2 linked regions of the Oreochromis niloticus genome follow. The protein of the gene in region 2 purifies or fractionates together with the protein of the main gene of each other region. This does not show direct contact. Links are inferred from orthologs where the notes say so. Each region holds a gene or a part of one and is shown on either strand. Other genes may lie near its edges.

Region 1 (15,577 bases), on a different chromosome or scaffold from region 2:
GCTTTCGTGACTCATGAGGAGAGAGCTTCACAGGAGTGCACAGGTGGGTGACGTGAAGGAGCTCTCACACAGTTTATTTAAGTTGCAAATAAATCATAAAGGGCCTTCGCTGTGAGTAACATTGAGGTTAAATATTCTAAACTCTAATAACCTGCAATGGAAGTGGAGTAGGGGTGCAAAGCTTTATGTGTAATGATATAACTTTATAATGATTAATAAATACTCTTTTACTACCTTGAATTCTTTTAGCTTATAATCAGGCTTTGAAAGCCTTCGACACAATTTGAAGACCCCACTCTGATCTGTGTTTTTTTGCTTTACTGACCAGACGTAGTATTGCAAGGACACTTATGTACAACACATGCTGTGACATTGCTAATAGATCAGGAAAAATCCAGAAAGTTGGTGTTTCCTAGTGTTTTATTTCATAAATACTTTGTTGTACGTGTAGCACTTCCTAACGTTTTCTTTTTGCACGTCTACCTGCCTCCATGATACCACCTGTTGGATCAGACATCACAGCACTGCAGCACTTCCTTCCTTGTGAACTGATGAAGTAGCACTGGTCCTTTGTAGTTGGTTAGCCTGCCTACACACTGAGCCTTTCTTGTCCCTGAACAGACCCTGACAGGTGATGTAGAGAGCCAAGAGTGTGCATCTTCACAGTTACGCTTGTTTCCCACTACGCTGCTGAAATTTGAACTCCCAGATTACTTCAAGCCATCACCTCACACTGTCACTGATCCTTTCCCTTTTTGTACTTATTGTGTTTATATGCTTCATATTTGCTCTTTTGTCAACGTTTGTTAAGAGCGTCTTTACTTTGTGGTCAGTCAACAAATATACCCGAAGCATCTGACACTAGAGCACAAACACACACACACACACACACACACACACACACACACACACACACACACACACAGAGGTGTTGGATTAAATAAATCAGAAGTCCTAATCAAGAATATAAGAAATTATTCTCGTCAGCAGTGTGTCTGATATTTTCTGAAACAAACATGTAAACAGACGAATTACGTGTACAGTGTACATATATTGTTGCCAAAATACTTCCAATTGCACATAATGGTGAGCCTGCAGCAGAAGACTGCACACTTACCATTGGTTCGTGTCATGTAGGCTTCAGTAGGTACGAGGACGTTTATGAGATTCCTCTCTGGGAGGATCAGCCAGCATCACCTTCATCTTTACCCCGTTAACGACGCGTCCGTGGAGCGCTGCCATGGCCTCGTCTGCGCACTGACAGAGATGAACACAGAGATGAAGAAGAGTTTGAAGTTTAATTCTATTCCTTCATTACTAAACCTACAAGTTCATCCTCAATCTGAGTTTTACCTGTTTATCTGCATACTTCATGTATCCAACTTTTCTCCCTGGAACCAAGTGGACTTCAATGAGGGAGCCAAAGCGACTAGACAGACAGACACAGGGAGGCACAGACGAACAAATAACATTTAATTGTAAAGCAGGAACATTTTCTAATTCTGGCTGTTTGGTTTAATAGCAGCTTTACTCTGTTATTTAAGAGCACTTAGCCTGATGTTATCATCCACAGCAGTTTGCACTGATTGAGCCAAGAGTCGTGATCAAGCAGACCTTTAACCGTCCCGGTAATGCACTGAGTTTTTTTTTACTGTTTTGTGACAGCATGTGTATTTAACTCATCAGCATTTTCTGAAAACGTAGTGATTGAGTCAGACCACAGGGCACTTACCAAAAAACATCCTCCAACACATCGGGGGGCAGCGGGGAGGGGCTGAACACGACAAACAGCCGCTCCTTGGTTTTGCTGTCAGGCGGAGCGAGCTTCTTCAGTGACGGCAGGTTGGCGTCGGTCTGAATTCGAGAAACTGATGAGACAACAGAGAAGCCCTGGTACATACCAAGACAGAGAACACAGGATCAGTCATTTTAATGACACATACTGTTCAAACACTGCATATCCCTCAGAAAAGGAAATTCTAGGTTTGGTCTGTTGAACTACTTTTAATCTTTATGTGAGCACAGATTTTTAAAAGATAAGCTAATAAGAATTAAAATATAGCTTTTTTAGAAATGTTCTTATTGTCATTGTTAAAAAAAACATCTGAAATGTAAATAAAATGTGCAGAGTAACAAGACGATGACCTGACACAATTTTGTAAATCAGATGTTGAATTAATGACTCACAGGTTTCATCACTTGGCTGCTGGATGGTCCGTTCCAGACCGCTGACATCATCTGTGCTGCAACAAACTGCATGGCCATCCGACCTACAGGACTGCACACAACAGCAAACATACAGGCTGTTTCCAGCTGTGGACACGGAGGGAAAATTAAGTCTACCTCAAGCACCCAGCACAGAGGTGCACTTCTCGCTTGTAGGGCTTCGTCCACATGTCATAGCTAAATAAAATCACAAGGGGGCAGTGTTAAAAATCTGTGCAGCAACTATTATGAGAGCTACTCTTTTTCATGTTTGTGACATTAAAGACAGAAGGTGCAAAAGAACTTATTCTTAGTGAAGTGACACTGAGTGTTTAAAACACGGTGTACTGTGTAGTAGTGCATGCTACTTTAATCGCTGATGGCTTTTTGTGCTTCTTCTTGTATTGCACTGTATTCTACTGATGTGTAATTTTCATATTCAAGCCAACTTGAACAGGAAAGGAGACACCGGTCCTACATCGCGTAGTCAGAGACGCTGAGGCATAGCATTTTGAGAAACAGCAGGGGGATGACAGCTGAGCATCTCAGCCCCAGTTCACTGTCACTATATAGTCCACAAGCACCAAATTTAAAATCCGGGGGGGGTTGAAAACGATGTGCCGGGAGTCCGCTGTTGAGTTTTGGACGAAATGCATTCTGGGATATTTAGCTGTACCAAGTCCACACCGATGCATGCTCGATAAAACGGGCGGAGCGAGAACACATCCGGGACTTTTTCGCGTTCTCGGCTTGATGCGTACTTCGAATTGGAACAGTACTTGGTCTCCGACTGATGACGTATCACAAGAACGCAAGTACGCACAAGTACGCATATTGAGAAATGCCCCAGAAGCCTGGTAATGAACTAATCATTTGATTCAGGTATGTTGACCCAGGGTGATATCTAAAACCTGCAGGACACCGGCCCTCGAGGCCTGGAGTTTGACACCCCTGTTCTAACTTTTTTAAAAACTTGTACTAAAGCTTGATTTAGACTTCAGCGTGAAATCTACATCCTAACTAACCAGAAACTCCTTTTATTCCTACACCGCAAGCTTCGGCAACCACACCATTCAAGCCGTTGTAGTACGCGCTGACCCGACGCGTAGTTACATTTTCTTGGGAGGTGCACGTCTGGTTACGTAAAATGTTGTGGCGTAAGATTAAAATGGGCTTCTGGTTATGGCACAAGTTACGGCGTAGATCTGACACAGAAGTATAACTCAAGAACGTCCGCCTGCTCTTCTGATGTCTTTTACTAGAGAGAGTGTGAAGTTCATGAATATTGTGAATGTGTATCGCTAACAGCTTTGAGATCACGTAAAATTTAAAAAGGCAGTCACGGCACTCTGAAAAAACACTGCCCGGTCACTGCAACCCACAGGGGACAACATTCACCCGTGAATATTTAACAACAAATAAAACATGGCCAAGAAGGCGTGCAGACAAGGTCACAGTTAATTATCAGTGGCATTTTCATTCCTATTTTTTAATTTATGGATATATTAACTTTAAAGGGTGTTTCTTCTCTGAGGCTCCAGTAATTTGTGACCCTTTTGCAGGCTCAAAGTTAAACATATACTGTTGTGTAGTTATGTGTGTATACCTGCCGCGGTCCTCGCCGTCGTCAACAAAATTTACAGCCAGTCTGTTTCCAGGTGGATATTCAAAGCCGTTTAGCTTTTCTCGGGCATAAAGTGCTGACCCAAGATTGCTGTAGCGAATCAAAGCATGGCCTGGAGGCAGGTGACACACAGCAAAGAAAAGGTCTGAGTGGAATATTTTACAGTCATCAAAACAGAATGGACCACATCAACATCCACAGAGAACAGAGACTGCAAACTAGAGTAAAGCTGATGTAGTGTGTAAAATAATCAGCAGCTCCATCCAGTTTTTCAAATGTGAAGGTTTGCTCCTTTTAGCCATCTCATGCAATCAAAAATAGAATCTCTTTAGTCACTCTCTGTCACACTAAGAAAACATTCATGATTAAAATCTTGTCACATTTGTAGATGATTAAACCCATAACATTGGTGGCTCTAAGTTCTGTAAGAGTTTACTTTGAGGTTACTGTTCCCAACAATCTGCTCAGTGTTTAGTGATTCCTTGGCCCAACAGGTCAAGTTGGACAGTTACCGTCCCTGAGCCTCATTCTGCAGATGGTTCGTTTTAAAAGGGTTTTTTTCTCCTCACTGCAACAGATTCTGACTGGTGTAACATGTTGGAGGTATATAAATAACATTGAACTGTTAACCTTTGTTCATTCCATAGGCATCCCTCTGCAGCTCGCAGTACTCCATGCCAGGTATAATGTCAAACAGAGAAAAAATCTGCTCCTGATTGAGTGCAACCCGCGTGGACACCATGAGACAGCGTGTGAAATCACCGTGGCGGTAATCTATGACTGTGTAGTTCCCAGGGTCGCCTAAACAGGGAAGAAGGACACCAGGGTCAGTACCAAGACAGAGGATAATACTAAGACCTTTACCCTTTCCTTTCTGTGGTAGTAAATTCTGATGACAAAGAAACTCGTACCCAATGAGAACGCATACTGGTTCATGGATTCAGAGCCGCCAGTATAATCATTTCTGGCTGCTGCTCCTCCAGAGCTGTAATCTTCTGTTGCTGTTGATTTGCTTCGAGGTTCAGCCAGGATGGCCCTGTAGGCTAATAACACCATTTCCACAGCTTTAAATCATAAACATGCCCTTTACTAAGTGTTAACTGAAGTGAGAAGTCACCACAGCTGTAACCGTTCACCAACCACTCTGTACATTTGATGTTCATACTGCTGCTTCTACCAGGATTAATGAACAAGTAAATGAGTTTGGCAGACCTACCTTTGTCGCAGTTCTCTATGGCGAGGGCAGCTTGGGAGGGTTTGTAGTATCTTACGTAGCCGAGGCCTTTACTTTCTCCTGTAAACTTGTTTTTGATAATCACACAATACTCAATATCCCCATACTCCTGCAAAACAGAAAACAGAAAGAATCTAAATGAGCATTTAGGAGTGTCAGCGAGTTCTAGAGAGGCTGAAATAAGATGGTCTAAAAGAACACACTATATACACTAAGCATAAGTGGTCTGTATATAGTTAAAGTATGATTTTTTGTTCTTACTTAACACACGTTTATGTATGTTCCTGTTATTTTTAGGCCATTTGATAGACAAATATAAATATATTTAGATTATAGCAAAATACTTTAATCACAGTCCTGGTGCAGGTTCTTTGATAGATGGCCAAAACCTCTTTGGGTGAGCACACAAATATTTTTTATAAAGGAAACACAATACTGACATTAAACAATCAACGCAATTTCCGTTAGACACATAAAAAACACAGGCAAGCAAAGAGCTGCGAAGCCATAAAAGAAGAAGTATTACTTTGAATGTTTCTTTGAGGTCCTCTTCTGAGAAGGATTTGGGGATCATGACAAAAATCCTGGTCAGCTCCTCATCCTCAACATCTCTGTGTCTCGTTGATGACCGTGACTGGGCTATAAACACCTGAAGAGCCAACATTTCCAAACAAAGAGACACAAATGATGCATTATAATAGCGGAAGATACACGTTAATTGTATATTTTCGAAGAGGAATCGCAACTATGATTTTTTCTTATGTAAAGTTAAGAATAAGATTTATCCCTAGCCATGAATATTCCATGTTTTGTCTTCTCAGTTCCAAATATTTAAAATTTAAACAGCATTTTGCACATAAGAGTGAGATTGTAGATAATTGAGGTTATGTGAACTGAAAGCAGCTAGCGATCACGCCCCTTTAGCATGCTAGCTATACGCAAATTATAAATCGACAGTCTGAACTGAAGCTGACAAAATATAATCTTTTTGGAGACCTAACCATTGACATTACCTTAACAGGTTTAGTCCCTTCCACCAGGACTTTGCCATGCATTTCTTCCATGGCCAAGCAGGCCTGAGAAGACTTGGCAAACTTTACGTAGGCAATGCCTTTGGACTCCTTTGTCTGCTTGTCTTTGACAACCCAGACCCCCTGAATGTCTCCAAACACGTAGAAGCTTTCCCGCAACTCATCTTCGGTGATGGACCGACTCGTCACCACGAACAGTCGGCTGTTGGGAGGGTCGTCGAGGTTTTCGGGCACTTGTTTGGAGGGATACTCCTCCATCTTCGCTTCCCTGTAAACACAGCAGTGTTGCTTGCAGTTGTTAGTGCTGCCTTCAGGTGCTCCACGGCATTTGTTAAGTAAATTATAACGGCTCTTGTTATTTACGTGTTTATTTACGTGGTTTGAAAAAAAAACTTTTGGAAAAGTAATTTCCTTCATTAACATTATTTAGATTGAGACTTTTAAAAATTCACGACTTAGCGCTTGTAGTAGTCATTTGCAAGCATTTGATAATTTAAATATTTAGAAAAAGTTATGAATCAGAGAAGCAATGAGATTGAATCGTGCATAGAGAATGCTTATAAGGCAGGAGATTAAATGTTGTTTTAGTACTTTTGTTTTAAATCTTGAAATATTTAGAAAGTGAATTGCTTTGTTCGCTGTCAAATGAGAACTTTAGTGAATTAATTGTAGAAATTCCGACAGTCTTAAAGGCATCCGCGGAGCTGATGACACGTATTTGCGTTTACTGCCCTCTGCAGCACAGGAAGGAGAAATGCAGGTGTTACAAAATACCCTGGTCTTACGAAAAGATGCTGCAGAGAGGTTTTGTAACTAACACGTTAATTAACATGAGTAATGGGACTTATCACCAAACCAGAACACCTGATGGCTTATTAATCCTATTAATCGTGTTCTATAAATACCTGACACAGGATTACACTCTTAGACAACATCAGGTATCAGCTGTGAAATAGTTACCTGAGCTCTCGTTCTGTCTGCCTCTGTGTGTGTTTGTTTAAAGAAATAAGAGGGAACTAGCCCTTCGTTAGAGATGAGAGAGTTAGTCACATTCGTGCTGGGGACAGACGACCAGAAAAGTTGTAAGATTATATCTATAATGGCAGACCATGATTTTTAAATAAAACACGTGCTGTTAAAAATATGATGTGCTGTAAGGGTAGATTATTAATTTTGAAAGCATCCTAGTTTGCATGTGTGTGTGTGCGCGCGCGCTCGTGTATTTTTAGGTGCTTACAGGTCACGTGCTGAATGACCCTTCTGAGCACAAACGTTTAGATTTTATAGCCGCTTTCTGTCATAATAGTATTCCCGTTTCATATGTTGTGAATGATGCTCGCTATATGTCTTTGTGTTTAGTAAAACAAGTCTTTTCTACTATCCTGGGGACACATAGTGTCACCTTGAGAAAACACTCAAGGCTCAGCACTTAACCTTTTTATTTTATTTTTTTCATTTTCTGTCTTTCATGTTTAATATAAATATCATTTAGCCACATAAATTTCACTTTGCGAGTGAGGCTTCATTTTGGGATAAGGATGTAGAGTGCAAAAGGCAATGTAAGAAACTACAGATAAGTAGAAGACATAAAAAGAAGACAATCTATTTTATTTAATAATTTGTAAACATTATGCACACGTTTTCTATTGGTAATTGGTTTGTGGAGACTACATGTACTTAAGAGTATACGTTCATTGAGTGACTTATTAAATTACGTGTCAGTTTTGTTAAATTAAAAGGCTATCTTTTGTTACCAAGTTAAACGCGGAGTACTTTCGGTTGCCAAAATCATTCATGAAACTTCTCCAGAAAAGCAGGTTCCCTTTGCCCTATAATGGCTCTGGAGGGAATGCGACAAGATTCTTGGGGCCTGTACTAAAACTCCCTTTCGTTTTCTTGCTCTCAGCCTCGTCGCCTCGCGTGTACACACATAACAAAACTTGCTGCGTTCTTGGTAAAACCTTACATATAGACACGATATGAGTGTTTTCTGTGTTTAAATTGTATTTTTTTTTTCATACAAATTAAACGACTTCTTTATATAAAATTAAAGCTATGACAGGGATGAGGCTACATCAGTTTATAGAAATGATACTACACCGACACGTAATGGTTAAGCGGTAATCTCGCGGCACATGATTGGCTGTGATGACGTCGAAAGCCGGTGCCTCTAAAGTGAAGTGACCTTCTTTGCGACCGTCACAAACCGCTTGTCGGCCGAGGCTGAGCCGGTTACTTACCTACAGCAGAGTATTTTTAACCCGACATCTTCTCATCAAAGGTAAAATTTCATACTTTATAAATTTATTTACAGGAGAATCGAGGTTCTATTATAAGTAACAGGATATGAGCCGCAACAGTAGCATGTAGCGGGAGTTAGCGCCCACGTTGGTGAATAGCCCGGTTGTGCTCTCATTGCGTAGTCCGTTATGGGGGAATAATAAGGTAATTTAAACGTTATAGCCATTTTACTTGAGCTCTTGTGTGATTTGGGAACACATTTGGGCAACACAGCAGCTTTGAAGTGCAATTTTCGTACGCCGACATTGAAGCATCCTTGACAGCCCCGGTGGGCGACCCATACCCGGCTTGTCGTACTACTAGCACGATGGTTGACCCAAGCTGAGTTCAGGTTGAGCTTGAGTCAGCGATTCGAAACGTCAAAATCGGGCGAAAATGCCACATAGACCGCGAATACATGTTGATACATGTTGGTAAATGGTGTACGTCCTTGATATTACGTGAGGAGGATGCCATTCAGCCGGCTGCCGCCATGTTGGAGGCTACGCGTCTATTGTAAATGGCATACGATGTAGTGCGGTTCGTCTCTTAAGAACTAGAATGAGAAAATTAGCCGTTATATTATGTAACTCAAAAAACTAACCGTATAATGATGGTTGATGTGTAATATATGTAAGATTTGTAGGCAGTTTTAATGAAAAAGGGGGCGGTAGAGGATTTTTGGGGACCGGGGTCATGTTAGTGGTGTTGCACTAAAATGTTTCCCCCAGTGATGATAGACCATCATTTTTAATCTTTAAAGTAGAAGCGACTTTATGGCAGAAACACCGGCCGGATCTCTGCCACAGGTGCTTTAGTAATTACAGCACGTTTTCCGCTAAGCACATTAACCTTGACTCCCCTCGGTAAACCTTCTGCCTCATGGCGCAAGATCATTAAAAAGGTCTTCCTTTACTCGCCAAACCTGGCAACCTTTCCCCCCTGGAGTAACTCGAGCTGAGGCCCTTCGTGGCTAGCCCAACGTGTTTTAAGGGCGGTGTAGTTTCGGCTTCCTGCACTGCTTTTCTGTCAGCTTTCCGGGTAATCTCGGCGTCGTGCCAGCGCACAGGGCAATGCGATCACTTACCTGAATGCATTGTAAAGTTAGAGCCGGCGATAAGAGATGGTCAAAGTTATGGAGTTGTCTCCTTAAGTGACCTTCACAAAATGGCGCTGGGGTCAAATTAGAGCTTTGAGCTTCCTAACTGGGCTATGAATAGAAGACAGTCTGATGTATTTAAAGAGCCCTTCATAATTCTGTATACTTTTACTTTTGCTTTTTAAACTGCATTTTCATCTCATTCTATTCTTTTTCCTGTTGCCTTTGTTTCTCCAGTCAACTATGGGAGACGCTGAAAAGGGAAAGAAGGTTTTTGTCCAGAAGTGTGCTCAGTGCCACACGGTAGAGCAGGGTGGCAAGCATAAGGTGGGCCCCAACCTCTGGGGTCTGTTCGGAAGGAAGACCGGACAAGCAGAAGGCTTCACTTATACAGACGCCAACAAGAGCAAAGGTCAGTTCACTGGGTCTCTGAGTAGAGTATAAATACCTTTGTATGCTAGATGTAGATCACCAAAGAAGGGAGATTGGCATTGTCTGAAATCTGGGAATTTTTCTGGAAATTGCCTCACTTGAATAAGTGTGTAGTTTATGTTCACAAACTTTTTTCTTTTTTAAATTCAGAAGTCTTTAAAGGGCTGTTTCATGTTTATATATTGTATCAGTAGCTTACAAGCAAAATATTTTTTCTTTTTTTAACCTTTTTTTTAATTTTAAAAAAGGCAAAGGCTTCCCATTTAAGCATCTATATTAAAAGTAGTTAAACTCCCCCCCCCCACCCTTTTTTTTTTTTTTTTTTTTTTTGTAAGGCTTTAAAAGTCTCATATCCTCCTCCGTTTTCACATTTTAAGTCTTGCAGGTTCCCAGAATGCATTTTTGTTTTCAGCTCAAATCACACACAGTTTGTACCTGCAGGTGGTTTTTCTCACTCTTGAAGTGAAGTTAATAAAATGGTCTCCTGTCGCCCTTTTTGGAAGAGTGCCATGTCTTTCTTGCCACTGCCTTGGATGCTCTGATGGGGGGGAAAAAAGAAAAGAGAAAAAGGAAATCCAAAACAACATAACGACCTGCTGAGGTTGTCATGTTATGCAGTGCACATTGACTATAATGGTGTTGGATTACTTGAACATTTCTTTCACATTTTGCAAATGACAAAGCCATTTTAGGTTTCATAAAAGGTCACATGGCACTCTTTCACTGTGCACACAGGCCTAACGATCCCTGTGTCATCCTCACCATTTGTTTTCTCTATAAATCCTGCTGAAGCTGGGGGCCAACACGCTCAAAGTCCTTTGTGTAAAACTGTCCTCGTGTGGCGTTTTTCCTTCCTTCTGTAACTTTCCTCTCCCAACTTCAAACTCAAGAAGGGGCAGGTCTGTGATATCAGTCAAGATAATGGTAGATGCGATAAAGACGTGTTCTTGTAGCTTAGCAACGGTCAGCTCTTGAGAGAAGTACTCTTAAAGGTTATGGGTGTTTTCAAGGACAAAAGGACAGATCTTTAAAATTTCCGCTATTGTCTCAGTGTGACTGTTTTGACATCGCAGGCTGCTGACACTAACAAATATCCTGTATTTGTGGTGAAGCAGTATGTCATCTGACAAGCCATCAGATACTTTTGGAGTACACAAACAGTTTGTACAATAAAATGTTCAATTGCTACAAGACTGTTTAGAGTTGTAACAAGTCTCTAGTGAGATTCATTCAGAAGAAGGCAAATGAGTATGAGGTGTTAGGTGACATTTATTTTCACCTCAGTTAATTAGTTTTGAGTCTAAACTAGACTTATAAATGGTAGCTTTAATTCCTTTTTTTAAAAGATTGTATACAAGCTAAATGCTTTTTATTAATGCGGCCTCTTTAAAGCCACACATGAAACTATAGTCGCTGATACTTGATGTCACCCGCTTGCTACTTGACTCATCGATGACCATTTTCCCTCAGGTATCATTTGGAGTGAGGACACCTTGATGGAGTACCTGGAGAACCCCAAGAAGTACATTCCTGGAACCAAAATGATCTTTGCTGGCATCAAAAAGAAGGGAGAGCGCCAAGACCTCATTGCATACCTCAAGTCAGCAACATCATGAAAAGATCACTGAGATCACAATATTTAATGTAATTTTAATGTTTTTCTCTGCCAATACACATTAAATATGATTTTATGTTTCTTCATTTGAACAGAAGGTTAATGTATATTCTCAGACTGGTGTTTGCTGTAAGTTTCACTTCCTGTTAAGGTCAGATGAGTTTTGAGCAGCTGTTCAAGTGAACAAACATAAAATCACAGTCCTGTTTTCATTGAGTCTGTACGAGTACATACTAATCACATTATTTAAAAAAGCTCTGGGGAGGATGGCTCGTCTCTCATTCTTTTCCATGACAACATGTGTCTGGTACTTTCTGCTAACAGAGTTATCACCATATACTTTATATTCATAACAATGAATAATAAAATTCATCTAATATCAGCTACATGAAAGTGAAAGGGCGATGAAGCCTGTGTGGAGTTTTGGTGGTAAACTGGTGCTGATTTTGAATCTGCCCTCAGCATTCATATTCAAGTTGTGAGTGTCTGACCTTTGCACAAATGTGATTAAAGACTTCCACCTGCTGTGAATGCTCTTAGTTTGTTGTGGACTGAATTTGGGAAATACCGCTGTTGTTAACACTCCCGAAACTGCTCCTCCAAGCTCCTGTTTTTACCCCCTGCCTGTCATCAGGCTCCTTAGAAGTTTTTTAAAGATTTCTTGCTAAAGGTGATGTATTTATCTGTCTCCTTACAGCCAAGAATTGTGGGATTGTATAAATATTACATTGATACCTTGAAAGCCACCACCATGCTGAGGTACAGTGTGAAACCAGCTGGCATACAAGCATCACGAGCTAATATTGTGGAGTGACTTTATAATGTAGGGAAACTATTACGGGCACCATCTGGACTGAAGGAAGATGTTATTTACCTGGTTTCACAGGCAGGACAGAGTTGGTTTAATTTCTTTTACTGTAATCAGTGTTTGACTGTAATGTGGTAGGTGTATGTTGTTACAGACAAGATGGTTAAGGATCAATTAAAAGAAAACGTCCAGACATGTGAAAACGACTCTTCATTTCATGGTGTTTGCAGGAGCTGACAGCTTGTCCCTGCAGCCGGGTCATGTTCTGCTCTTTTAAAATTCCCTCCAGAGTAAAGGCAATAAACATCACTGGTCTTATCAAACCAGTAATTTTTATTAAAGATAAGACCAGACTAATTTCACAGTCGCCTCTCAGCTGATTTGTTAAACAAATATGAAGCCAAGCGTGACCCTAAATGTGGATTTGACATTTTTGTGTTCAGTTTATCTGAAAGTGAGTTAAAGACGCCGTGGTGAGCAAATATGTGTAAATTTTGTATTATCAGTGTAGTAAGGTACATTTGCTACTGTAATAACACTATTTGGAGTCTTGTTTCCTGTCTAAAAAAAAAAATAGACAGCAGATTAGGTATGAATATATCCACTTAAAGTAACTTTTTGTGTGCACTCCGTGTCTCTTTAAAGAGAGTTGAACTCTCAGTCATACCCAGAGGGCCGCTCGTGCCGGTAAGGTGTCAGTTTACTGCTCATGAAGTCATTCTAGAAAGACAGTCAGCTGATGGCAGCCCAGGCCTTGCTTTACCTCTGGATCAAAGATCAATTAAGAGCAGAGACATGACTGGATTTGTCTTCAAACAGTGTGTCTGTATGCTGCCTGGAGACAGAAGGCTGAGTAAATTTTGTGTTTGAACTCTTAGGTTGTAAACTCATTACATTATTTAAGGATCTAGTTCATGGAAAATCTAATTAGAAGAGCCATTTTCTTTGCCCGCCTTACACCTCTCCATAAACTATGTTGGTTTTGAAAGAGAAGCTGGGACACCCAGGACAGGTTGATGAGGATTTGGAGACACCTGCTGGTGTATCATAAAATGCCTTTTATGATACTTCATTGTTCATTGTTGAAAGATAGAGGGGCATAATGTTCTGAACCTCAGATGGAAATAAGGTAAGGCAGAAAAGACCAAGCCTCTGAGAGGCTGATAGGTTCAATTTAATGTCACAATAAACTTACACATCTTTAAAAAACAAATAAATGAAAAGCACAAAAGTGATAAAAAGACACTAATTCATCATCAATTCAGGACAGTCATGCTGATAAAAAAAACTCATTGTAAGGGAGCAGTGATGTGTGAGGGGCAGAGTAGGCAAAGGACTAACAGGGACATGTGTACTGTTCAAAAAGTGTTTTTTATTTTATCCACAAATATGAAAAACAATCATATCAAAAAACAAAGAAAATAAGTTGTTCTAAGAAATAAGTGGGCTCCTAAAGGAGCTAGCAAAACCCCCCAAAACAAACCACAATGCATAACAGACTGTAAAAGAAACAGCCTTAATAATAGAATAGTATGTAGCTAAATAAAATAGAATTCATCATCAATATACTTTGAGGTTGTATTATATTTTACAGGGCCCACCAGGGGAAGCACCAGAACTCACTTAAATTCTGTTTCCATGGCACCAACATAACGCCACTGCAGCCACCTCAAGGTTCTTTGTGTTGTAATGTAAAGATCCTGCAATGTTAGATAATGAGACAATCCTTTACGAGCAGCACTCGCCATGGTGGGAAGGAAAAACAATTTTTTATTAGGAAGAAACCTCTGGCAGAACCAGGCTTAGGGAGGGAGCAGCCATCTTCACAACTAGTTGGGGGCCGAGGGGGAAGAAAATACAAAAAATGAGACACAGATAGACAAGAACACAATGCAAACTGTGAGGCAGAGTGAATAACATGCAGTACTAGCACATAAAGACATGGGGAGTAGAGAAGAAGTGCGTAGTACATGATGGCAAGTCCTCCAGCAGCCTATCTAATCGGTGGTCAGAGTCACTTAATTCAGCTGTAACTATAAATTTTATCAAAAGGAAACCTAAGGAATCTGGTTCCACAGAAGAACTGAAGATTCTTGCTTTTGGAAACTCTAGGAAGCACGAAGTAAGCCCACAGTCTGAGAGCAATGTGCTCCATTGGAATAATATAGTACAGTGAGATGGTTAAGATAGATGAAATACAGGAATGGGGTCTAATACTGACGTCAGTAGGAGAGAAGCAGTCTTAAGTAATTTTTTTTTCTCTAGTTGTTATAAGTTTATTAGCAAGAAATTCAACAACAGTTTTTAAACTGGTCAATGAAAATACACCAACCGTTTAGCCTTTGAGCCATTCCAGATATACTCCACTGCTCTTTAGATGCTCTCCACTTTAAATGATTGGCTGGATTTTCTTCTAAACCATATTGAGACACGCCCCTCTTCTTCTGTTTGTAGTTTCACTTCATATTTAGTGTTGAGAAACATTCTTTTACAAGATATGTGCTGTTGTGCCTCTGCAAATATTTCTGTGCAACTTTTAGAGTAATTGAGACACCTTTCTATTCAGGTTAGCTGACAGTGTGACAACTTAGTACTACATCAGTGCATTTTGCCCATGGACTGTTTATAGAATATGGGCACAGCTTAAAAGTGAAGCCAGTTTGCAGTGCTGGTTAGACCAATCCTGGCGTTCACCAGTGCTGCCCCTGAGCCTTTTCAAAGTCCCGTGTCACCTCATTCTCAAGGTATCACGTTCACAAAACTTGCATATCAATGCTTCCTGCGACAATAGCCTTTTAAGGCTGAGGGACAAAAATGACGGTTCACTATTCTTCTTATGACCAGCAGGGTGTGACTCATGATTGTAAAATGAAGTCCTCTTGTGGCAAAGTCCATGGTCTCCTTGGCTCTATGACCTCAGTAAACATTTTGCTCTGTTGCCAGTTCATATCTCATTTAATCATTTTGTTAATTTTAAGAATTTCAGCCCCTGTTATAGTCAAAAGGAATCTTTAATATGTAGTCTATCTGTCATGACCTATGAGAGTATAAGATTGCAACAAGATAGAAGTTGAGGGAACTGTAGGATGAAGGTGGCCTGAATTAGAGTTTTAAGATTTTACATATTTGTGAAGTCTTTTAGGTTTTTTTTTTTCAATTATGCACTCTAGACTCCTTATCAGTTGCTCCTTTTGCAATGCTCTGTTATATGGTTATATATTATATGGCAAAAGATTAAAAGTACAAATA
Region 2 (16,377 bases):
TTTCAGCACTGCGTCTCGACAGATCAGTGCTGCTGACCCAAACTCCAAAATTTTCAGTATGGTGAGATGAGGCGAAAACCCACCCAACTGTAGAGGTAAATGTTGGGGCTGGTTGGCCACTGAGTAGTAGTCCACTGCCTTCTTGAAGCGGAAGATTTTGTCATCAGTGCAAGACTAAAAGAAACAAATGAGAGAGCAGAGTATTTCTTTGTCTAAAATAAAAAAAATCTCCAAATTCACTTTCAAACAAGCAAATTCTTTATTCCTCTTATCCTGGTGCACCTGATTTTGACCACTTTCTACTAAAACATGCAGTAAAAATAATATACATAGCTTAACTCAAATGGAATCAATCACTGCACGCTCAATAACCTGACCAGACCACATCATCATCTTCCCATTTTCCGAGCAGTCCGCTGGATCCTCTGCGACTACATATTTATCACCGCCACAGCTCAGATCTGACTCTGATCACTTATCTGTCTGTGTCGCCAAAATAAAGGAGTCAGCAGAGAGAAACTGGCCATACAACTAGATTTAATACCAAACTGAAGCCATAACTAAGAGAGACCACCTGTAAGAACCTGTTTCATAATCAATTTTCCCAAAGCTTTCTATTGTTTGTGGTGTAGTGTATGCTAAAGGAGGCACGCACATGCAGTCTAACTGCACATCTGGCAGATCAACTGATTTTATTTAGAGCACGGAAGTTCTGCATCTTCAGTCAACAGGACTACAACTCAAAACAAGCCCTCCTGAGACTGTAACATGATCTTTTTAGCTGGCTCTAGGTCCATGACCCATTCACGGCTGTTTTTTCTTGCTCAGTCAATTCAAAGTCACAAAGAATCACACTTTAACATGATGTGAACTGGATTTATTAAAGGATGATCAGGAATCGACTGTGACTGCCTGAAAATCAAAGGGATTTTTAGCTCACTGATGGGATTAAATGTCATCATTTGGAGCTTCATAATAAATGGAATCTGTTTCCCTAGAGTGTCATGTTTCATAACCACATATAAGCAAAACTTGATAAACACAGGTTCAGTCCCACATGCTTTCAAATTAGTGTTTGTGGAGCAGTTTCACTGATCCATCATCAATCAATAGAAAACAGAAGAATGATATTTCTGACTGGCGGTTTTAAATCGGAGGTTAACGTGACTGCACTAGGAGAACTGCTCATTTATCTCATCTATATCATTTCTTTTCCCACCGGGCACTGACTGTGTATGAGGAGGGCGAACTACATGAGGACAAATTTTAAACATATGAAATAATGGAGACTGCCAGTGCTACCGATCAGCTTCCAAGCAGATACACCTACGGTATGAATTTCAAAATCCTACGTTATTGCATTCACAAGATTTTCAGAAAAGGTGAGTAATAGAACTGTAGCTCTGAGGTGAAAATAAGTAAAATACAGTGTCATGCATACTGTTTTAGCTGGTCCAACCACTTACTGTAAAGCTAAATTATTTATCATATGAATTTGTAAATATCTCACTGTTTGCATTACCAAGGGTAGAGGGGATGACAGGGTGGAGCAAAACATTCAAACTTTGTTCAAAGTGCTTTTGGAAAGTTCATACCTGTGAATTCTTGAAGATGTCCTTGCCGATGGTCTCCAGGTCAGTGATGTCGGGGATGCTGCGGACATAGTCGGCCACGGCCTTGATTACAACATCACAGGGAGGAAGCACGAGCTGATGGGCACGCACCTGTGAAAGAGAGATTGTCCTGAACGCAGCCAAAACTTATATAACCCTTCAATGCATAAGAGGGAAGGTTAAGAATCAAAAGCACAAATGATCAACTGGGGCTTTAAGTCAAAAGTAAAAGTGTATTCTTCCTCTGTAAGTAATGTATTTCTGAGAAGGATTCAGGCTCAGCAGTGTTTGCTGGTTTGTGAACATGTCCAGATGTGTCTGCAATATGTCAACATCAAACTGAAATGTTGACTACTGTAACACTTGTGTACAAAAAGCTTAGATTGTGCTTTATGTTGTGCATCATTTCAGCGTAACAGCGTCAAGTGAACTTTATTCATTAGACTCTCTGGTGCCACTACAGTGAACTCACTTAAGTTGGAATTAATGAAAGTGAGGCTGGTTACATTTATGTGTCAATATAACGGGCGAAGGGGAGAACTTAGAAACTGTATTTTTATCTTTAATCATGTGCACATGCATACACGTCCACGTGAACTTGCTCAACCGCAGCACCACAAACAGAATCTGAATCTTGTGCTGTCAACTTGAGAGCATTTTGACAGCTTCATTACTATATGAAAGAGAAGTCAGACTGTTATTTGGAGCAAAGAGGCTTTGTCCGTGTCAAACTGTGCATGGACTGATTTCCAATCCTGCAAAACATGGCTCTGAAACACTCTGTGGGATCTGGACAGTCATACAGGCACCATCAGAATCAATACAACAAGCTTGGTGACAGAACAGATATAAAACTCATTAAGCACATGCCTGTTTTGAATGTGACTGTGGAATGCTCTGGATATTTCTACACAGCACTGTGGTTCCTGTGACTTTCATGGACCCGGGTATGCAGATTATGAGGTTTATCCTGGATCATATATGCGAAACGCTGTTTACACGGAAAACAGATGTTCAGGTTCTGCATGTCCTGTGTACATAATAAATACTAGTATCCTGGTTACTGTGTGATGTTAGTTTAGGCAGGTGTGATATGTCAAGAAACACAAACAAATAGGTAGATGTACCTATAATTATTACCTGAGTGCAGCTGCTGAAACTTGCTGGTACTAATACCAGGATAGCATCATAAAAGGGAGCCTAGTGTGCTTTTCCTTATGACAGCAGTGATGTTAAACAAGGCGCGTGGCTGTGGCTCAGGTGACAGAGCGGGTTGATCAATCCCTGGCTCCTCCAGTCCATGTGTTAAACCTTCCTTGGGCAAGATACTGAACCCAGAATTGCCCCTGGTGTGAGTGTAAGTGCTAGATAAAAACATTGTATGAATGCGTGTGTGACTGGGTGAATGAGACTTGTAGTAGAAGTTTTAGTTCATTTACCATTAAACATAACCAAAGTTTCAAAGCTCAGTGTATGTACAACAATCTGAGAGCCAACTTACTGGGCGGGAGACTGGACCTGGAGTCCCATTACCAAATCCAGGTTTAATAAAACCAAAAAAGAACGATTAAAGTTTGATTTTAAATAATATGATCATGTTTACATGTGCTAACAAAACAACTACATACTTCAAAAACCTTATTATAACCAGGACACAAGTCCATGCAAACACATCTACTGGTCTGAAGTGGGGGTGCGCTCAAATGGGTGATGTCACATAGTCTTTATCAGTACTCGCGTCTAACTAATAACTGGTGATTAAAATTTGGTCACAGAAGCTGACAGCTGGTCACCTGCAGACATTCCAGGGTGCAGTTGCCTAGGTAACCCCTCTATTTTCTACCAGGTCATATGTCAATCAACGATATCCGGCGCTGTTGCTGGTAGCTACTTCAATCTAGGCGTCGCTGGCGCTTACTACCATATCTTTCAATGCAAAATATGTGCACTTTTCCTTCCCATCAGTCAAGGACGTGCACTGCACGAGCAAACAAATAACCAGTAACGGTAATATTTAAGCACAAGGCCGACAAATCTCGCAGCTCTCAGAGAAAGTCCTTACCTTCAAAGATGCCAAGGGATGCTCTGGACCAAGTAAGCTCCAGTGAAAGGCAGCCAAGTCTTCATCAGGCAGTAAGTGATTCCCTGTTAAAAAGAAAACGCGTATCAGTCAGCCTCACCGGGGCAAACGCTTCCACCAACATTACTCGCTCAAACTACAACACTAACCTAAAAGCGATGCAAAAATGACAAAACGATTGGGGCTGAGATCGAGCTGCCGTGCCACTTCGTGCATCAGGTACTGGCTGGTGGTGAGGTTTTTGCCGTTGCGGCTCAGTTTGAGGATGTGGGCGTTGAAGTAGTATGGGATATTGCTCAGGGCGTAATCCGAGTCGTAAGCCACCAGACCATGGAAGCCACTCTTCCTGCATAAGGCTATCACTTCCAGGTGGTGGTCCTCCACACTCTGGACAACCTGAGGAGAGCCACAGACAAGAACTGAGCTAACGCCTCAAAACAAACCCCTTTACAGACACCAGTGTGCTAAAGCACTCAAAGAACATGCACAGGAAGAAAACTACAATCGAGGAGCACGTGCACATTTGTGTGAGCTGCTTGGGGAGTGAGCCTTGCTCATAAGTCTGTTCCTGTCCCGTATATGTTTTCACACTGGAGTTACTTATTCTTAGTTAGTTTTTATTATTTCACTGTTATCATCCCGTGGGCAGACTGAAAATTACAAATTGCAATACAAAACACAACTTGATTACTTTTTGTCATGTTACAGCCTTATTCCACTTATAATAAACATGTACCAGTAGGACTGGAGACTTCTGTCTGTATTCACTGTTACAGCAGAATCACTGTAACCACAACACTTTCACGTTCACTTTGCTGTCTGCTTTGTGGTCACGCTAGAACGGGCTACTAAAAGAAAGATCCTGTGTATGACATCTTTATTAGGATTAGTACAAATATGTGAACAGTTTAGCCAGATTGTCAACACATTACTTAGTGCAATGACTAAATAAGCTATCATTGCTCTGAAGAGCCAGAAAACTGATGACAAAAAAATAAACTGTTTTTGGTGTGTGTGTTAAAAAGAACTCACGCTGCAAGTCTTAAATGTAAGTGTGAAGTTGTGGCGTACTAAATTAATTTACCAGATTCCAACAAATCGAGCAGCTGTGTGGTGGGAATTACAGCACTGCTGAGGTGGAGGCAGAGACAATGTCAGAACTTCCTCATCTACTTTATCTCATCAGCTCATTGCTCTTCTAACTGCGCAGAATGCATCTTCACAATTGGTAGTTTTGTTTGTTTGTTTTAAGATTATTTAAACCTCAGCCATGAAGTTATGTTCTTCCAGTGAAACAGGGACTTGTTCAGTTTATGCCAAACCTGTCTGGACATCTTTTTGTTCACTCTGTTTATTTCTGTCAGTTGGGAGGACAAACAGTGATCGCTGACAGAGGATCTGAACTGGGACTCAGACCAGCAACCTGTTGGATACTAGTCAACCACGGCAGTTGCTCACCCTCACACAGCAGGTTAGAACTTGTCTAAATGTGGGAACAGCATCGCATCGTGGGTCAGGATGCCCGTGGTGACATGGTGGGCAGCTAGCAGGCTAACTCAGAGCCGGGCTGTGTCCACAGCTCAACAGGCAGGCACTGCCGGGCCGAGTTTCCACTCACCCCGACGCGGAACTTGAGGAGAGCAAGTCGGATGCAGTGGGCCATACACACGGGAGGCAGGAACCAGACTTTGGGCGGTGGGGTGCCTTTATTCTGGACGTGGCTGATGATCTGCTGAGCGGTCTGCCTCTCGTTCACCTGCCGCTTGACCCACTCGTGAAGACGGCCTTTCTCCAGGGCGCCATTGAAGCACACCAGGAGCTCAATGTTCCCGTTGAAGCAGGCCTGGGAGAGGGCGGCCAAGTAGCCCAGCATGTGGTTCCACTGGCCCCCGCAGACCCAGTCGGTGTAGAAGCCCCCGTAGAGCCGATGGAGGCAGTTCTCGGCGTCCACCAGCAACCTCAGCGGACTCTGAGGGGGTCTCTGCCGGCCACCTCCAACCAAACTCCCCCGGGCCAACCTCTGGAGGTCCACCGGCACCACCGCGTTGGGACAGTGCTTCTCAATATACTCCAGGAAACCTTGCACACCCATGTCGAGCTTCTCTTAGAAAAGAAACTTAAAAGTGACGGTAAAGAAAACTGAGTATCATAGGAAAATAAACCGGGGGAGGTTGCAGTGTGCCTCTCCCCCAGTGTGACTGACTGCTAGCTGCAGATATTACCGGAGTTGCTGTAATTACGAATGAAATCAAACACGCCTGCTATTTAAATGTGTCCGCTTTCCGGTGAGTAGTTGTTGATGTTTGTTGTGTTTATTAATTTGGTTCATGGCTTCAAGATGCCATGTGTCGCTTCACGAAGCCATGACTGCGATCCTTAGCCTGTACCGGAGGACAGCGAGAGGGAAAGCACGTGACGACATGACGCACAGGCACGTAGGCTCGAGAGGCCCACGAGAGAAGCAAGAGAGTACACTGTCGGTGCTTCGCTGTTTGTTTGTTATTATTGTTGTTATTGTTTGCCTGAATTTTTTTTTTTTTTAAATAAAAGAATCAGAAAATTAAAGACCTTTTATACAGAGACTATATATAAAACATAACTACCGTTAGCACTGGAGTTTTGTGATCAGATTTGGGCAAGAAGTGAAAAATATGGATGTGGAAGGTAGTTCTGTTTTATTTAAAAAAACAAAAAAGATGTGATATCAATCCAAATATATTGATGGCTATTTTATTTCATGACTCTGTGGCTGTTGCCACAGGCTGCAGTTTGTCTGTTTCATTATCTTGTGACTTTAGGGTAGAGATGCTATGGTAAGGTTAAAAGCTAGAAGCAGTGAGATTGGGAATCACTGTATGGCCTTAACAAAATTTCACATTTCTAAAACCTACTTATGAAATGTGTTGAGTTAAGGTGTTGAGCTGCAAAAGCTAATGGGACAGAAGCTAGCCTCGAGAACTCGCTGGCAAAGGTTGGATGTGAACTATCTTGGCAAGTTTCACTCTTTGGGTGCGAAAGCGTTCCTTCCTGATTTGTGGAGGGAGGGGGTGAGCGAGGGTGCAAAGTTGAGTCTCTGTACAATGTGCAAAAATAGTGTTCTTAATAGCAGTGTGGTAGTTTTCCATCTGCTACATGGAAACGTGTTAGAAGTAATCGAACAACCGATCTAGAAATGACAGCTATTTGAATATTCAAAGCTCATTATCGACAAGCCCACCACCGTCTCACCAGCTTGTTGTAACAATGCATTAATTAATGTGTTTATGAATGATACAACAGGTTCTAAGCCTTGTGAACTACTTGGTTTAACTTAACAGTTAACCTTGGATTTCTCCTTATCTTTCTAGATGTTTTAATGATTCGGAAATGTATAAATACAGATGTTCACAACATATCAGCTTGGTTAAGAGTGAATAAGCAGCCAAAAATATGGGAATAAAGTCATTTCCATTCAGTGTCAACAGAGGGCGGCATCCAATCAGTAACTGCACGTGTGAGTCTTTCGGTGGTTAGTACACTCTTTTTTGTCATAAACACGTATGAGAATTTCACTTGCATTTCCAAGTAAATAATACTAATTTATCTACGACAGATCTGGAAACATTTGTGAGCCCCCTCCCCCATTAGCCTCTTAACCATGTAACTAGGTGACCAGCAACAGGTTAGGGTTAGGGTCTAGGTGGCCATAATCCTAGACCCTAGAGGTCACAAAGTTAACTGGTTAACATGTGGCTCTGCTTTAGCCACATGTTAAACGGGCATTTTTTAGAATCTACACATTACATTAAAGACAGGTGCAAATACTGTAGAAAGAGGTGGTTAACCAAACTCAACCCCTGGGTTTCCAGCGACCTGGTGGATGTTAAGAGGTTTGTAATCCTGGTATTCTTTTATATTATATGTTGTAAGTTTTATAATAGAGTGAACATAAATACTTTTCCTTTTTGTTCAGCACTTTTTGATATTGACCCCACTGATTCCAGGCCTAGTCTTTTCTGTGTTTGGCTGAGACTTTTGTCTTTTCTGCATATCACAAGTCTAAAAACTATGAAGTTGTTATGTAACCCTTTGTAGCTTTTCACGTGGTCCTTTAAAATCTCACAATGTAAACTACAATCGCTCGACTTACAGTATCCTGGACGGCAAACTAAGTTTGCCAAACTAAGTCTTCAGTGTGTCTTAAGAATATGAATTGGTAGTAAAATTCAAACCATACAACAATATATTAAAACTGAAACTTGTGTTGTGACTGATATACGCCCCATTAGCAAACCTTGGGGCTGAAACTGAAGCCAGTGTCAAAGTACCAAAAACTGCAGTTCCTCTAATGGCTCCAAGAGGCTTGTTTGGAAGGGCTGCTGGGAGAAAACAACAGGACTTCAGGAACTATGGACTGCATTTACTAATATGTGCTTGGCAATGTTCCTAAACTGCACAAAAAACCAAAGTGTGAATGCAAAATTACTCTTTGATTTGGCCTATATTGTTCTTACCACCATGAATATGTTAATAAATCAGTCATTCTGAACCAATAGCCCTGTACCTGTTTATCAATTGCATACAATCTGCACAACCACAATCTGCTCTCTATGAGCAAATTCATTTACCTTCAGATGAAGCAAATAAAGGAGTGACGATGTTGTAAGACAGAAGCATGCACCTCTAAATGGAAAGCCATAGAAAGTCCTGACTGAAAAAACTGAAATAACTGTCCGAAGAGGAAGCCAGAAAAGGAACAACTTTCGAGAGTGTTTCGAGGCTCTGGTTAAAATAATGAAGGTTGTAAATACTGTTTACCCTGAAGAACTCATAGTGATGTGTGAACCTGTCTAAACTACAAGAAAAAGAAGAAACCAACACCAAGCAATGATATAAACAATGTGAATTTAAGATAAGATCAAATGAGATAAGCAATACTGGAATATCTTTAGATTGAAAAGGTTAAAGTTTGCACCCTTCCACTCCACCAGGACATCATTGGTTGATCTAGATGGTCAGAGGAACTTCTAATTTTGTTCATAAAGTACAAATCTAAACAAATGTCGGTACCTAAATATTGATAAATCACTGTTTTGTGTTCTTACACAACATTATATACTACCAGCGGTTTTAAAGGGTAAGTTCAAAATGCTGTACCCAAGCAGAAGAGTGGGTGGTAAAAGGTTAACTACTGTGCACAGTCCACAGTTAGGCAAGACAGTATACGCATCCCAAACCCAGTTCCTGTTATGTAATGACTCGGACGTCTAACAATCACTTCAGGGTGTAAAAATGTTTTTACGCTTCAGTGACAGAAATATAACAATTACGCCATTAATGGTCGTATTTCACTATAACACAAATGGAAGGAAAAGAAACTCAAAATAGATTTTTAAAATAAGGTCCAGTATTGAAGCAGCAGAGACTGAAATATCCTGATGTTTAATCTCCAGTGTGGGTTAAACTCCTGGACACCGGCTTCGACTTATCCTAAAATGCAGCCAGTCGGATTTTTTGGGACTTTGCTTGTCTGGTAAATACTCATGTCTAATTAACAAGTTTATATGGTTTTATATTTTCTTGTAGCCTCTTAGTCTTTTTTCTTATAGAAACAACTAAACTGTTCTGTTTAATTGGGCCTCCTGCTGATATTCTTTGATATTGTGTTTGACTTGTTTGTGACTGTTATGTCTGTGAAAAGCACTACATAAAAAAACTTTACTTACTACTTAACGTGAATTATAGATGATCCATGCTGTTCTAAAATTCATGATAACCACTTCAATAAAAGTTTGAATTTAAAATAACAAAACATACATCATCCAGTCATTTTCCTTATCTTATCTGAAGTCAGGTCACGGGGGCAGCAGGCAAAGCAGGGAAGCCCACAGCTCCCTCTTCCCACCTCCTCCAGCTTATCCGGAAAAACATCAAGTGGTTCCCAGGCCATCCGACAGATGCAAGCTCTTTGGCATGTCCGAGGAAATGTCCTCGGACATGCCAAAGAAACTTATCCAGGAGGTGACAGCCTCAGACGGCTCCTGTCGATGTGGAGGAGAAGCAGCTCTACCCTGAGTCGCTCCCAAATGATTGACCTCCTCACCCTATTACTAAGGGAGAGCCATGATTCAGAGAAAGCTAATTTCCATCACTTGTACCCACAATCTAATTCTATTAGTGTTAACGAAAAATGGCTGTATAACATATAGGAAATAATAATTTACTGGCTTTTGGGCATTTGTGTGCGACGAGTCGAGTTGTCCTGGCGCACTTTCTCCTGGCAACCCTTCTAAACAACCCATATGTGTCTTTATCTAACTTTAACCTTTAACATGAGGCCAGGTATGTCTGGGTGGCTTTTTCCCTTAATAAATGAAATAATTTAAAAACTGAATTTTTATTTGCTCAGGTTATCTTTGTCTAATAGTAAAATTTGGTTGATGATATGAAACACTTAAGTGTGACAAATATGCAAAAAACAAACAAAGTAACTAAGAAATCAGGAAGTGGGAAAAATTACGTTTTAATGTCAGTGTAGCTGATTTTGAGTTTGTTGCAGTTTCTCTGAGCGTTGCAGGGTCTGATTTTGAGCTGGGATGATACTTTTAGGAGGATTGTGTAACACATTCACAGAGGGGGGGAAGTAATAAAGTACAAATACTTTGTTACTGTACTTAGGTAGAATTTTCAGAATTATCTGTACTTTAGTTAAGTATTTATTCATTTCTAAACTTTTTACTTCACTCACTACATTTTTAAACAAACGTCTTTACTTTCTACTCCTCACATTTTCAAAACAAGTGTGTTACTTTAGGTTTAACACATTAGAGGGAAGTTTTTATTTGCCATCACTGCAAGTCTTCAAACATCAAAATGATTTATGACACCATTCTGAGGATTAAAGTGGATCTGGAACCTCGTTCAGAGGTGCCAGATCTTCACTCAGAGATGGAGAAAAATAAGAAAGACAGGATGGGAGAGGAAGAAGAGAGGTTAGATTTGGTAAGGGAAGGACTGCTCAGTGACATTTGATAAAGTGGAAATTTCAAGCTTACGTGTAACGTCCTGCTGTTATAAATCAGATAACAGATCTGTATATGATGTGAAGTTGTTTTTCATACTGTGAACTGTCCTGCAAAAAACAAACTGAGGCCTTACTCAGCAGTTGCATGAAAACGCTCGGCAGTTTCGTGAAGGAGTAACAGGTTAGCTTTCCGTACTGCGTACATTTTCAGTAAAGAACTGTGGTGGGCTTGTGCTCAGTGGCTGTGGTGCTCATGGTTAGAGTTATATTTGAATTTGAATTTAAGCTGATGATATGTATCACATATAAATGATATTCATGCATTTAATTTCACCTTTATACTAACTGTATACCATTAACCTTTCTGACATTTATTTCATGCTTTAAAGGGCTAATGCATGGTCGGTAAATCCCCCCAGAGTGTTTTGTTGCGTGCTTGGCCCTGCATGAATTTCTGCAGACTGAATGACAGAATACCACCGAAATTTAAAACAGAGAGAACAGAAGCTGACTAGCTTAGAGAAAGCGAGTGAAAAAAACCCAGAAGTACTGAAAAGAACATCCAGGCAAACAGGTAGAAAGAGAATACAAATCTTCCCTTCTGATCTCATGCAAAAGCATCATTTCAATACCAAGAACTAGATAACTAGCGGAACAGTTTGTAGGGCTGTAATGTTCTCATTTCCAGTCCCTTTTTTAAATCTATTTTTAAAATCTATTTTCTATAACATATTAAAAAAGCAGAAAAATAAGGTTTTCAGTTGTGTGTGTCTGTGTTTTTATTTCAATATCAACAGAACTTCAACATATGTTGTACTCAGTCTTTTGTCAAGTAAATTTTGGGAATGCATAACAATTGTTTTTTGAAATATTTACATAGATATTAACAAAAAGTAGACTGTAACAACATGCTACTCTGAGGAATATATTCCATACACAATATAGTAAAATAAACAAACAAGACAAAACAGATAAGCAACAAAAGGCAAAGAATATACATTTCCCGTAAATATAGAAAAAATACTTTATACTCTGTACTTAAAATGCATTATAACATTGGCTTAATTACAGCATCTTGAATGTGCAATTTATATTGATACTGCCTTTTAGTACAAATGCAATACCTTTTTGAAATAACCTGTGCCGCCGGCTTTTTTCTGCAGTTGTTAATATTTAAACAGCAACCTGCATTCATCAGCTAAAGCAACAGCATAGTTAGGCTCAGAAGTTGTACACTATAAGAATGATTAATAAAAGAAATAGCTACATGACTGATGAATAAAACCTTCTTCTTCACACAGATCTGTATGCTTGATACTGTAGGCTCACTCTCAGAGATCAAGCGATAGCCGAAAGTGCTGTGCTCTCTGGGCCAGCTGCGTTGCGAACTCTTGAGCTTCATGAAGAGCTTGCCTATCAGGAAAGTGCAGTGCCGCCTTCTTGGTAGCCACAGCTAGCTGCTTCAGGAGAGCGCACAGGTGGTTGCTCTTACACAGGAGACTTTGGTTAGACCCTTTACGATGGGCTTCCCTGTACAAAGTGTCTACCAGTCTCTGGCCCACCATAATCACCAGCTTACTTTGTGAGATGAATTTCTCTGGTGGCTGGTCATCCTGAAGGCTTCCCACAAATCCACCAATGGCCTTTTGGAGAGCACCAAAGTAAAGTCTACAGTGCTCTGACATGGAAGATAATTCCTTTTCTTCGGTGCCACTGCCAGAGTTGGAGGAGTGTTGCTTGGCCTGAGCAGGGGAGAAACAGAATAAAGGTAAACATGGCCGTGCCTTCTAGACTGGTTTGTCTGCTTCAGACCAGAAATCCTCTTATAAATTAAAAAAGTCTGTTGTACAGGACTGTGTCAGTTAATGAGGAGACATACCTTCGTCGTCTCTGTTGTTGGTGTGACATTCTCTTTAGGTTCCTTCTGCACTTCCCGCTGTTTGTTTTCGTCTTCCTTAGTCTGAGGAAAATTCAAAGGCAACATATTAATAAGTATGCAGCATGGGTTTCTTGTGGCTAAAAAGTCATATTATGACAGAGGAACAGAAGTTGATACCTGCAGCTCTACGTAATCATTGTCATCCTCAGCTAAGTCCCCTTCTTGTTTGGTTTTGTCAGGACATTTTTTTTCTGGAGGATCCGTGGTGTTTACAGACTCTTGATCTCGCTGAGGCGTTCGGAACAGAAGCTTGCCGTTGGCGTTGATGATAGATACTAGGCGCTTTATATCGTCTGGAATAGTTCTTGCCACCATAACAAAGCGCTCCAATTGGTCAGGTGTCTGGACCTTCCCCGGTTCCTGACTGAGCTTGTTTAGAGGCCATTTGGCTGCATTCAGATTACTCACTGTTTGTTGTAAAATCACACCTGAATCCTCTACGATGGAGAGCTGTTTACAGAGCCTGGTCTGCAGGTTGGCATCAGTCAAACGACGAGCATTTCCTTTAACATCTAGGGCAAAGTTTAGGAAGCATGTCAGAGAACATACAATCAACTCGGCTGCTTCTTTGATCTCCTTGAGATGTTTCTCCAGATGTCCCTTACACCTCCAATGACTGCTGACAAAGTCCATGAGTTTGGGCACAGCTTCACAAACAGACTCCTGCAAGTCCAGCAGTTTGCGGCACGCCTCATCCTGACTGAGTGTTACTTCTCGCAGAAGCTCAGGGGAAGAGGAGCTCAGGGCCAGAGAGTCACAGGAGCTGTTGGAAGAGCTGGAGGCTGTGCTGATTCTTTGATTATCTGCTGCAGGCAGATGTTGGTTTCGACCTTGCTCATCTTCACGCAATGCAGTTTCCCCACTTTCTTGAATGCCGTGAAAGGTTGTACAGACCAGAAAGTTCCTCATCCGCTGCAGACGCACTCTTTGGAGTTCAAAATCATTGCTTGAGTTACCCCTGCATTCTAGGGGTTTTTGATCATTGGGCTGATCGGTGACACCTTGGATGAGGAGTTCTTCCTTGGCTGGAACCACATATACAGACTCTTCTGTAGGCTTCAGGGATGGCAGTTTGTTGTAAACGTTTGGTGTAATTTGGATATCAGGAGATTTTGGTTTGGGTATATCATAAAGCAGTATAGGTGGACTTTCTTTTCGATGTGCTGGAAGAGTGTCATACATCTGCCTGGAAACTGATTTGCAGGACAAGTTATCAGAGATGCCATGACTTTGTTTCTCAGGTCCCACTGGCACATCATAGATCCACTCAGGTTTGCGAGGGCTGGGAAGGGTGTTGTATCCATCTATCATTTTGATTCGGGATTCTGTGGCTGATGGAATGGGGATGTCATAATTTGGGTCCTGAGAAGGGGGTGGTGGGCCTGGATACACCTGTGAACAAGAACAAAGTTGTTCAACACTTAAGTGATTCTACAAGTCCTACATCTGTTTTGCGTGAAACCTGACAGTTGAGTTAGTGCCCTGGGACTTTTGGTTCCCAAACCCAATCCAATGAAGCATCTTCTGGATGTGCAGGAACAAACCTGACTCATAAAGGCCCAAATTAGCACTTCATCGACCCCAAAAGATCTGCTGCTAACATCCCAGTGCCATAAGTCAGATCTATGTCCTTACCCTAATAATCAGCAGTATTTTGTTAGACAAAAGACTAACAGGCAGGTTAATTTTGATGTCTTGACTGATTTTCTATATTTAAAAATACTAACAGACCACATTTATAAAAGGCACCAATCCTTGCTTCATTAACCTCTTAACATCTGCCATGCTAGTTTTGTTTTGGCCAAATGCCAATGTTACAAAATGTTAGATTTCAAAAGAAATCTTCATACATGTTTACGTCTGGTTTTTTTTGGTAAAAGGCTTCATGTTCCAAACAGGTAAAAATTTTATAAAAAGGATGGAAATCAACCAAATCTAAACCATATCAACCGTTGAAAGATATTAAGAAATGAATGACTTGGTAGAGAAATTTACGGAAGAGGATTAGGGCCACTGGAAAAACAAAGTGGGCACGTCTTTTGTCCCCTTTTCCAGAATTCTGACTTTAATCTCAGAATCCTGACCTTTTTTTTTCAGAATTCTGGAAAAGAAAAAAAAGACGTGCCCACTTTTTTTCTCAGTGGCGCTAATCCTCTTCTGTAGAAATGAATCCTCTAAAACATCTGAAACTTACATAAGAGTCTTCTGGACTGCTACACCTTAAAGTTTCAGGAGAGTTAAGGCCCTTCTCCAGAACTTGCTTTCGTGGCATTGGTGTAGGAGGCGTTGTATTCTGCGAATAGCACAATAAAAAGAAAATGAAGCTGTCGGACCAAAGCCCACTCAAATAGTATCATCTAAAGTTATCTTGACTTTGATACATTCTTACATTGTAAAGGGAAGCTCTTTTTGGTTGGTTCGGCACATCGTACACCTTCCCATTTGGACTGGATGCTGTACTGAAGGATGAACGCTGCAGACAAAACAGTCAGGCTGTAATACTGGAGTTGACTGGCAGCATTTGCTCTGCTTTGATCAAAGCCACTTTTCCCCCACTGACACATGCGTTAACACGTTTATGGGGACAGTGTTTGCTCTGAAGCCTGTTGAAAGTGCTATTATTCATACACCTTGCCAATTAATGCAGCTCTGTAATGAAAACCATGCTGTTCAATGACAATTAAGTAGCTACTGTAGAGAGAAACAGGACTTCCCTGGAGCAGGAGAGGAAATGGTGAACATGCGGGAATATATCCCCCCTCCTTCTGCTGCAGAAGCAGCCGTACAGACACTTCTGTTTTTCTGGGGTCCCTGTCAGCATGGGCTGCTGTTTGCAGTTAAAAGTGTCTGAAGTCTGTGTCTGTTTGGCTTTTACAGGCCCATAAAGACCCCAGTGCTGCATGCCTGTCCCCATGGAGAGGCCCCTGGTCTCCATCTGCAAGCTCTTTTGTCAGCAGGGGTTTCATTTCTGCAACATTTCTACCTCTCTAATCATGAGCATTAACACTTCCTAAGAAGCATGAATGACTTTGACCTTGGACAAACAGACTGGCTATCAGCTACAACGAGCTCCTTTCCAAAAACTACAAAAAAATTATTTTCTAAATATAGAAAAAAAACTACTTGTACCTTGTTTGCTTCGGCTCCTGCTGTGCTGGGCATAAATCCTGGTGCTTCTGGACCTTTTGAAGCCAATAAGTGAGCAGAGGGGACCTTGTAGATCATGTCCATGCGTTCATAAGCAGGACTGGTGGTGGTTCTGGGGATGCTGGGTGTCTGGTAGATATTTTGCACGCTGTCATCAGTTTTACCATGAGTTAACCTGGGCATTTCATGCACTGCTGGTGTCACGATCTGCGGTAAGAGCTTTAGTCTGTTTGCAGGTGCCAGGCCATGTCGTCCATACAGAGAGCACATCCACCACCCGCTGGTTCCAGCCACGTTTGGATTTATCACCGTGAGGATGTCGCCCTTTCTAAAGGCCAGTTCATCTGGACACTCTGCTGTGTTGTCATACAGAGCCTTTGCTAATTGGTTCTAAACAACAACAAAAAAAGAGAGACAAATGAAATAAGGGTTAGAAGGTTGCATGTGGTACTACCACACAGGAAATAGGCTGTGGTCACGTATAATGGTATTTCCTCTTGCAAAATGTGAGTAGAACTCAGTCGTCAGGCTCACAGGGAAAAAATCATAACCCGATTGAAGGTCTAATTCTTCAATGGCAACAATGCCAAGCCCA

The links.
Region 1: the proteins of constitutive coactivator of PPAR-gamma-like protein 1 homolog (region 2) and rbm45 purify together in Homo sapiens (co-immunoprecipitation; 3 studies listed by BioGRID and IntAct, with this or other methods). This does not show direct contact. The link is inferred for Oreochromis niloticus from reciprocal best matches to the Homo sapiens genes FAM120A and RBM45.

The regions. Positions count from the first base shown.
Region 1 is NC_031978.2:5,576,845-5,592,421, forward strand, and holds the start of rbm45 (RNA-binding protein 45), read right to left. Parts: upstream 6,419-15,577; 5' UTR 6,353-6,418; coding exon 6,077-6,352; intron 5,713-6,076; coding exon 5,590-5,712; intron 5,173-5,589; coding exon 5,046-5,172; intron 4,873-5,045; coding exon 4,741-4,872; intron 4,631-4,740; coding exon 4,460-4,630; intron 3,942-4,459; coding exon 3,812-3,941; intron 2,279-3,811; coding exon 2,188-2,278; intron 1,891-2,187; coding exon 1,733-1,890; intron 1,430-1,732; coding exon 1,354-1,429; intron 1,258-1,353; coding exon 1,141-1,257; 3' UTR 1,118-1,140; intron 862-1,117; exon of another isoform or gene 625-861; 3' UTR 1-624. Other genes in the region: cytochrome c, read left to right, coding at 9,587-9,607, 9,711-9,885, 11,376-11,521. UniProt on the Homo sapiens protein: RNA-binding protein with binding specificity for poly(C). May play an important role in neural development.
Region 2 is NC_031970.2:37,136,446-37,152,822, reverse strand, and holds the start of constitutive coactivator of PPAR-gamma-like protein 1 homolog, read right to left. Parts: upstream 6,200-16,377; 5' UTR 5,786-6,199; coding exon 5,312-5,785; intron 4,090-5,311; coding exon 3,843-4,089; intron 3,759-3,842; coding exon 3,676-3,758; intron 1,725-3,675; coding exon 1,596-1,724; intron 175-1,595; coding exon 84-174; intron 1-83. Other genes in the region: cass4 (cas scaffolding protein family member 4), read right to left, coding at 12,028-12,438, 12,576-12,656, 12,753-14,027, 14,830-14,928, 15,025-15,108, 15,765-16,172. UniProt on the Homo sapiens protein: Component of the oxidative stress-induced survival signaling. May regulate the activation of SRC family protein kinases. May act as a scaffolding protein enabling SRC family protein kinases to phosphorylate and activate PI3-kinase.